Drosophila melanogaster: one gene and its partner. The protein of the gene in region 2 interacts with the protein of the main gene of each other region in a pairwise test. Each region holds a gene or a part of one and is shown on either strand. Other genes may lie near its edges.

What was found.
Region 1: the proteins of CG1309 (region 2) and ms(2)35Ci interact in a two-hybrid assay, tested with the Drosophila melanogaster proteins (one large-scale study listed by BioGRID).

Annotation. Positions count from the first base shown.
Region 1 is NT_033779.5:15,290,349-15,294,760, forward strand, and holds ms(2)35Ci (male sterile (2) 35Ci), read left to right. Parts: upstream 1-2,119; 5' UTR 2,120-2,330; intron 2,331-2,387; 5' UTR 2,388-2,388; coding exon 2,389-2,598; intron 2,599-2,660; coding exon 2,661-2,799; intron 2,800-2,860; coding exon 2,861-2,913; 3' UTR 2,914-3,788; downstream 3,789-4,412. Other genes in the region: CG15260 (uncharacterized protein), read right to left, coding at 1,133-1,825.
Region 2 is NT_037436.4:4,257,363-4,262,205, forward strand, and holds CG1309 (uncharacterized protein), read left to right. Parts: upstream 1-2,067; 5' UTR 2,068-2,180; coding exon 2,181-2,306; intron 2,307-2,381; coding exon 2,382-2,695; intron 2,696-2,746; coding exon 2,747-2,898; intron 2,899-3,005; coding exon 3,006-3,609; intron 3,610-3,675; coding exon 3,676-3,943; exon of another isoform or gene 3,944-3,999; coding exon 4,000-4,110; 3' UTR 4,111-4,281; downstream 4,282-4,843. Other genes in the region: CG15011 (uncharacterized protein), read right to left, coding at 1-158, 222-353, 410-526, 584-700, 754-912, 974-1,584, 1,651-1,765; CG11586 (uncharacterized protein), read right to left, coding at 4,361-4,842.

The DNA of each region.
Region 1 (4,412 bases), on a different chromosome or scaffold from region 2:
ATTTACAAGGTTTACCAATGTAACATGTAGTTTTTAAACACTATTCATTAATATTATATTCTTGGTCAGCCATGGATGTCTTTTTAGCTGGAAAACTAAACTATGGTAACACATTGTAACCTTTCTACTCCACTTTTAAAATGATGTACTGATCATTTTGGTCTCCTTTCGCGGCTTATTCAAAATAATTCAGCCACAGCAACAGTTTAAGGCCAATCTGTTCAGCACATTCACACTACGCTCATGATCCCCGTAAACGGAGTACCCGCATCCCATGCCAAGTGCCCATTAAACCGCATATATAAATCACCATTAATTTGACAGTGGATTTTTACATAACTCAGGCCAACAGGTGAAAGCGAAAAGCGCACAGCTGCCGGCGGACAGTGGAGAGATCATGGTGTGTCATGGAAAACTCGCCACTTGCACTCGTGGAAATTGACTGGTCTCCCCGAAGACCCTGCTCCTGCTCCTGCTCCACCGCCTCATCCACCACCTGGAGGAAGAAGGAGGAGGAGGCTGGCATGCAAAATCGAATTGTGTGCTAATATTTGGCCAAAATGCAAAGAGCCCGCGGTTATCGCTGCACCACGAACATGACGAAGTGACTCCAGATGGGGAAGTTTTCAATGCTGCCGCTGCAGTAATAAAAATCATTACTTTCCAGCCCAAATTGGCAAATGTTGGCAGCGGGAGAATGCGAATGCAGGATTTTCGCCTGATCGACATGCAATGTCAGGGAAATTGCTGTCAAATGGGTAAAAGTTGCAGCAACACTATGGAAAAAATCAGCGATTTTGGTGAAAATGATGATGGCAAATTATGAAAGGGAAAAATACTAAAGATACGCATTTAACAATAACTTATTCTAATATTTATTTTCTTGAGCGAACTTAGTGAAATGGGATCTTAAACCTTCGAGGGAGATGCCATAGAAGAAAGCTAACATTGGTATGAAAAAACTGTGCCGTAGCAAAACATGGCTTTTGTTTTAGCCCTAACCGCAGATAGATGTCCCAGCTAAAAGCTTTTCCCGAAAAATTCCGAACGCCGATACCCCCATAACCACCAACACATGACAGGCACAATTTCTCAATTTTATTTAGGAGGCAAGCAAAGAAATCTTTTACTTTCACTGACGACGCACATTCTTGAAGCGCCGCTCGGCCTCCGTGGAGCTGCTCTGGAAATTCTGCATCCAATCCTCATCCGAATATTGATGCCGCCAATGGCACAATTGGGAGTTCAATTCCTTTCGCTGGTTGAGAAACAGTGAGGTGCGTGACTTGGGCACGACTATCATATTGGTCAGATGCATCTGCATGTCGCGGTACAACTGCCCCTTGCGATTGCGTTTGTCCAGCGACTGCTCCCCTCGCAGATGCAGATCGTTGGAGGAATTGATGAGTCTCAGGTCCGAGCTCGACTTAAGGATCAACGATAGATCGGATTGAGAGCGCTTTAAGCCATATGACCCGCTCGTGCAGGGCTCCTCATTCTGATTGATTGGTTTAGGTATCAACTTGCGCAGTTCTTGCACTTCCGCCGCCAAGAAATCCAGGCGTGCCTCAAGTCTGGTCAGTACCTCACTGGGTGTCAGTTCTGAAACGGGAGTGGTCGCCACAATGGGTCCATCGGCAAATCCATCAGTGCGTTGCCTCGCATCCGATGGCAAGAATTGGGGGGAACTGGTTGCCGCATATAGTCCTCTGTTATCACCCACTTGTTCTGCCTCTATATAATGCCCAGGTGGTGTGTGATACTCATTCCGGTGGGTCATTATGTCACTTAATAAGTCTGCTGAAAGTGGCACAATTCGCTTCATTCCGGAGGATTTTACTTTACTTTTAATTTGGAAACAAACTAGTTGAATTATATCTGAATACACATGATATGGCAAAAAAACCTTTGATTTTTGATTGAAAGGGAAATGGACACTGTGCAGTGTTATATATATTAGTTCAGAGAATTGTATGCATAGTTTTTTGGTAATTGTAAATTTGCAGAAGTATATAAAACACGACTAGGTTTATTGTAATACCAAGATTCCCTCCGAAGGTCAAAATTTTTTTAAGTTTTGTAGCTTGTTACTTTAAATTGATTGTTCTACTGCCTATTAGTTGGAATAAGCACCTTTTATAATGTTGTCAAATATTTTCTCAGATAAACAAAATTTGAATGCACACAAGACACTAAGGAAAGTCCGGCAATCCGCATAATTTCAAAGGAGTTCCTTCGAAAAATTGTCAAATGTTGTAGGGTCCTCGGATACCTGGCAACAGAAATGGAGCTCGGAAGAGACTTCATCAAAAGGACGTTAGAATTGTCACGTATGTGAAATAAATAGAAATTATATCCACTCGCTAAGAAATTCCTTCTGAACTCAGAATGCCAATAATCAAGAAGTTCTGCTATTGTTTTAGTCTAAGAATTGGCGCATTTTCAATTGCGTACGCAGGTCTTACAATGGATGTATTAGATACAGTAGCGACTATATATACTAAGTCGCAATATTGCGCTGATATACTACTCCTCTGGATAATTTCCACCATTTGGAATATCATTTCCGCATTGGTTCTTTTGACTGCACTTTTTCGGGTAAGATCAATCTGCCATGATACATTTAGCATCACTAGGTATCTGAGCATCCTTTGTTTCAGGAAAATCCGCATTTGCTGCCAGTTCATCTGGTGACTTCTCTTTGTGGCCTGATGCTCGAAATGACCAATCACATGGTGATTGCCTCCCTTGGCAGAACCGATTACGTTTTGATATCCTATGCGTTCATTATGATTGCCTGTAAGTGATGGCCCCCTCTTGATCACATCTACTTCAAAAAAAAAAAAAAAATCGCCCACAGTTGTATCTGCGGACGTCGTGATCGTGCTGAGCTACTACCAATCGGAGGTTTAGTGAACCACTCCGATTACCCATTAACCCAGGCAACCGACCGGGCGCAGCATGTAGCATTTTGTGGTGCGCGATTAGGCGCGAAAATTTATTTGGAAAATGTTGCGCAATCCGCGCCGTGCATAAATCGTGGCCAATTGTCACCAGCGGATTGGCAACCGAACCTCAGCGACCTGCGTTTAATTATCGCCCCGCCAGCGCCCGCCGAGCTACATGCGTGCTAATTGACCAGGCTGCAGCTCAACGCTGCTCCAATCCGAAATCCGAATACGAATCCGACTCCGACTCCGAATCCCCAGTCCAAGTCCACGTCCCAGTCCCAGTCCCAGTCCCAGTCCAAATGTCCAAATGATAACCGCGACGATGAAAACGCATGCTGAGCCAAATGAAAATTATGTTGCAATGGGGCAGGCGTGCTGCTCGCTGGCTGGTCAGTGAACCGCAGTTTGCACCACCATCCATCCATGGGGCTTAATTAATTTCCTTGATTAATTGAAAGTGCGCCTTGCTCGCAGTATTTTCGTTTTCTGTCTTGCTTTTTTTTTTTTTGTTTATTTCTGGGCCATGGTATGTTTATGTGTATTTTTGGCAGTGCAAAGTTGAAGGCAATAAGAAAAATCGCCCCGGATTCGATTCGGTAGTATGTGATGGGCGTTGCCCTGGCCAACCCTTGGCCATTACTCTTGGCCCGAACCGTACCTTTCCATTTTTCCTCAGCTGGTATTCGATTATGGCCGGAATTATGATCCTTGTTGGTTGGATTCGGTGCAATTACTTCGGGATGCCCTGTAAAATGTAAGCAACTTTTTAAGTTGTTGTTTAAAGCGCTTAAAAAATAAGTCAGTAGAATTACTCTTCGAAATAAAATCTTAAAAAACAATGTCTCTATACAATACCATTCGGGTCATTTTCAACATAAACAATGATCATACATCACCAGCGAATCGGAACCATAATCTTTGACCTTGTCAACCCACTGAGAGCAGCAAGTACATCAAGATAAATTAAGCCTCAATTGTGGATTCAACATCAGGCCAACTAACATCCATCATTCCAGTTTTATGGCCGCACAATAGAACCCGGAATACCCAGCGAGTCAATTTTGCAGCGGCAACTAAGTTGCAATTCAACTTGCAACGTTCACCGAAAATTCACTGATTTCATAAAATATTACGATAAATGTCGCTTTCAACATTTATAAGCCAAAAGGATTTTAATACTTTATTGCTTATAACCGCAAAGCGACAGTAAATGCTCCTACTTTAAGAAACAAAATGCAATCGCATTGAGGCGAATCGAAAATAAGGAAAACAAGAAAAATGAATTGTCTTCATTTTGTAATTTAATGGTATTTTATTGAATTTCTGATGCGAATGGGCAGGGACAAGGCGGATTGCCCCCATCCTTGGGGTATCTGTATCTGTATCGGAATCGGGATCCCATCCCATCCCATCCGATCCGATCTTCCCCAGCCTGTTGACATTTAAAATATGGCCGCGTGT
Region 2 (4,843 bases):
ACACTTTTTTTGGTCTTTCCACAGCGGCAGTTAATCTGGGATTCCAGTTTACACGGATAGCAAGGTCCGTTGTGGCACACGGACTGACATTTGTGCTTGTTGCAGCTCAGCTGCTTGCCACAAATCTTTTCGCACGGTGGACACTGGTCCCCACAGCACTTTAAAAAAGGTTATTGGTTAATTCGGCTGTATACATTTAAAATGCTTGCGTGCTCTTATACCTTTCTATTGCATGCATGCTTGCCGCAATCACGCATTTGCTTGCATTTAGTCTCGCATGCAAACTCTTTGGAGCAGGGCAACTCCTTTTCGTGCAGACCACAACGACACTTCTTTTTGGTTCTTATTGGGCACTGTAAGAAACATATTTCATTAGAGAATCGATTTGCTTCCCTGGTGGCTATCTTACGGAAATGCAAGGTCCACGATGACAACGCTGGGTGCAAGTGTGCTGGCCACAGGACAAAAGTTTTTGGCACGTATCGCCACAGGTTTCCTCTGTCTCATTACAGGGTCTTACCTGGGTCTACAGAATTAGGTAATCATAAATGAATATAAACTTGTAAATAAATATATCACATACATTCTTGCCGCATGGGCAACTCCTGACTTGCAAAGGACACTCTCCATCTCCGCAGGGTCCAGCGTGACACACCTTCTCGCAAATGTGCAAACCACAAGCAAATGGAGCTCCACAAACCTGAAAGAATATTAATGTTGTTTTATGCTTCAGCTTCAAAAGGCTTTTCTTACATTCTGACACTTCCATTTCCGATCGGAGCAGTTGACCATCTTCGACTCCCGCTGGCACTCGCAAGGTTGTAAGCTTTTGCTGGTGCATGGAGGACACTTTCCTGGCTGATGACACACCTGATTACATTTGTGCTTGCCGCAGGCTAGAAGTTCCTTGCACTGGAAAATCATTTTTTTAGTATGGTGGTCAGACAAAATTTCTTAAAACGTTAAGACTTACAGTCTGCTGACACGTCCACTGCTTGTCAATGCACCTCACGGACCTAGGACTAGATTTACCACACAGGCACGAGACCTGCGCCTGCTGCGCACAAGGAGGACATGGCCCCGGATGACATAGCAGCTTGCAATCGTGCCCACACTTCGGTTGCAAAAGCTTTCCGCAGTGCTCTCCGCATGAGTGGGGCACAAGGAAGGGCTGGTTCTCGGGGTTCACCTCCTTGCCGCAGAAGCAGTTGTACTGCGTGGGCTTATCGGCCGGTTGGTAGTCCCTGCGGCACTTGGGGCAGCACCAGTGAAGGGATTTCTGTCGCTTGGGCGGCACAAATTCGCCCAGATGATTGTAGTGGCCCTGGCCGTTCTGCTGCTCTGCCGCCTTTACCTTCATCTGCATCATGCTGTCGTTGGCCCACCGTTGGATGCACTTCAAGTGAAAGAAGCAGTAACAGCTCTCGCAAGACCAAATGGCCTCCACCCGCCGAATGCTTCCGATGCAAATGAGACAGGTTGCCGCTCCCGAGTGTAGAGTGTTTTCCAGAAACGTACTGGTGCGTGCCGCTTCCTTTGAGCTTCCTGCGTTGTCCGACGGTTTGTAGTTCTTGTATAGGAGTTCTGAAAAGATAAAGCACAAAATTTGATGGTTTTCAAATGACACGTCACAAGCATCGGTCGATTTACCCAAAATGTGATTCTCATCCAGTTCGCCTTCATCCTCGGAGCTGGAGGCGTAGGTGTCCACCAGTTTTTGGGCGGCAGCCAAATTTTTAGCTTGCGCTTTATTAAACTTTTCCATTTTTAAGCCGGCGTTTTTGTCTATCAACTGGGAATAAATTCCTGGGGTAGAACCAGGGATGGCTCGTTCTCTGATAACAGCAATTAGGGGATCTAGTTCCGAAAGGTACACATTTGTGTGAGCTTTCAGTTTCCAATTGGGAATTTCATTTAATTCAAAAAAAATACATACATACACATTAATACCTAAATTATCAAACATCCTCTCTGCATATTTTATTGCATTTAATAATTTGGACCAACATTTTGAAGTTTACAATTAATAGGTCAGGTATCTAATGTGGCAGCCCTGGTATTCGATGTTAAACATCTGTTCGTGAGTGCGACACCCTGGAACAGCTTTCACATCATTTGCAACAAAATAAAATAGAGAAAATTAAATATATCCAGACATACCGACTACGATCCGATCCAAGATGAGTTTCCTAAATTACGTGTTTGGCCCCAACCTCTACATGGAATACCGCGGTGTGCCGGAGCCGCAGCGCAAGATGTACGAGGCAGGTGCCGTGGAAAAGTTCGGGGAGCAGATTCTATCGACGGTAAGTGCCCTGCGATCCCATGGGGCAGAATCTGGAGCATATGGTAATGTGGAAAATCGACACTCTCCGTTGCAGCTATCGGTTATGTGGTCCGTGGGCTATTATACTTCTCCGCTGCTCGTCACATTCCTATACCGACGCGGCTACCTGGTGACCGATTCCATACCGACGCTGGCCAAGATCACCACCAGCGTGGGCCTCATCGTCATCCTATCGCTGGTGATGCGCGGCCTGGGGCGCAAGCAATCGCGCTCCTACTCCAACATGATTAAGGCCCTCGTCCGAGCAAAGTCCTCCAAGGCACCAGGAGATGCCAACAGCGAGCTGCGTCGCTTCGACATCGAGTTCAACGCTTGGCCGGTGGACTTTGATGTGAAAGCTCTAACCGGGTGAGTGGGCTACGCCTTTGAAGTGTGCCAGAATAACATCTTCGTTTTCAGTGATACCAAAAAGCCGGTGGTTACGGCTAGAAGGCGGGAGCCCATCCAGCTGGCGACACTGCCCTGTGAGGCCATCGCCTACCTGGCCATAAACACCTTTGGGCTCTCCATGATCTATCCGGGTTCGGTCAAACTACTCCAGAAACTTATGAGTAAGAAAGATATACATATGTGAAGCTGTCTGAAATGTTGTTAAATTGCAATCCGATAAGCCCATAAGATAGACTTCTACATATACTGAACCTAAAATATTTTGCAGGACCCATGCTGATCTCCGGACGCGCCAAGCTCATCGAGGATGACAACGGCATCCGCTACAAGGTTAAGACCATTGACTCGAACGAAATCGATACGTTGTTCATTGACAATCGCCCAAACAACGTGGGAAATGGCAAGACTCTAGTCATTTGCTCCGAGGGCAATGCCGGTTTTTATGAAGTGGGCATTATGGCCACCCCAGTGGCCTTAAAGTATTCCGTTTTGGGCTGGAATCATCCCGGATTTGCCGGCAGCACAGGCACTCCTCATCCCCACCAGGACAAGAACGCCATCGATGCCGTGGTGCAGTTTGCCATCAACAATCTTAGGTTCCCCGTAGAGGATATAATTTTGTATGGCTGGAGCATTGGTGGCTTTAGTACACTATACGCTGCCTCTGTGTATCCGGATGTCAAGGGAGTGGTACTAGACGCCACCTTCGACGATGTGCTCTACTTGGCCGTTCCTCGCATGCCAGCTGCACTGGCGGGCATTGTCAAGGTAGCCATTCGAAACTACTGTAATTTGAACAATGCCGAACTGGCCAACGAGTTCAATGGACCCATATCCTTTATTCGCCGCACTGAGGATGAGATCATTGCAGAGTGAGTGATAACTTTTGCATTTGGGCAGAGGTCTTTCCTAAAACGTAACCCATTGATTTCCATTAGGGACAACCACATTGACACAAACCGCGGAAATTTCTTGGTCTTGTCAGTGCTCAAGCACCGGTATCCCAACATTTTTGGGGCTTCCCAGTTGAATAAGGCCAAGGGGCTGCTGTCTAAGCCCCTGGAACCATACAGTATCCCCGTCGCCGACGAGAAGCTGTGCATGTCGCGCCTGATCACCTACGCCTCTGACGAGGGCAAGTCATTCCCCATGAACATTGGAGCAGATTACTCGGAGGAGGTGCGCAATCTGATGGCTGTGTTCTTGGTGGGTTTATTCGGCAGTTTAAATGGTCTATATATCTAATACTGTTCACCTTTCAGCTGCGCAAGCATTTACGTGACTATAACTCGACGCACTGCACCCAGCTGCCCGGGGAGTTCTTTACCATGCCGTGGGACATACCCACTGAGCAGGGATTTGTGTTCACCTAAGCTCATTCCGCAGGTGATCCACGGCCGTATGCTTAGATTTAGTAAAATGGTTTTTAGTAATTTTTGCCTTCTGACTGCTTATTAAATTATTCTAACTGGGAACAGCCGGGTAGCTGGTGTCTTCTGAACTGGTGTGAAATTATATACAAAATAAATGTCACAAGCTAAACTAGACGCGTCGTCTTGTGGTTAGTTTCTATTTCATGGTACAGCTAAAATTGGAGGGGAGGGGCAGTTCAACACTTAGTTCCTACGAGTTCTTCTTTGATCCACCGAAGCCGGAGAAGCCCATGATGGCGGCCATGTCGTCGGGCATGCCGCCGGACTCGAAGTCCGTGTCCTCGGCCTTGCGCTTCCGCTCTTTTCGCTTCTCCTTGCGGTGTTCCTTGTAGCGATCCTCCTCCTCCTTGGCCTCCCGCAGGCGGCGCTCGAGCTCGTAGTCTTTCTGCTTCTCCTCCATCTTCTTCTTGTTCTGCTGGAAGCGCTCCTTTACCTGGTCGACGGTGCTCCGCTCCACCTTCATGGACATGCCCAGATTGCGCTGGTGCTTCTTGCCATTGATGTGGTCCAGAAAGTTGATGGAATCCTTGACCACGCAGTCGCAAACGTTGCAGTAATAGCCACCGGATTGCGAGGTGGGTGTGTTCTTGTTGATGACAACGCTCTTGCCCAGCTTGCTGTCCAGGTCCACCTTATAGTCGCGTCGCTTGAGGTTCTCCCGCTGTACGGGTTC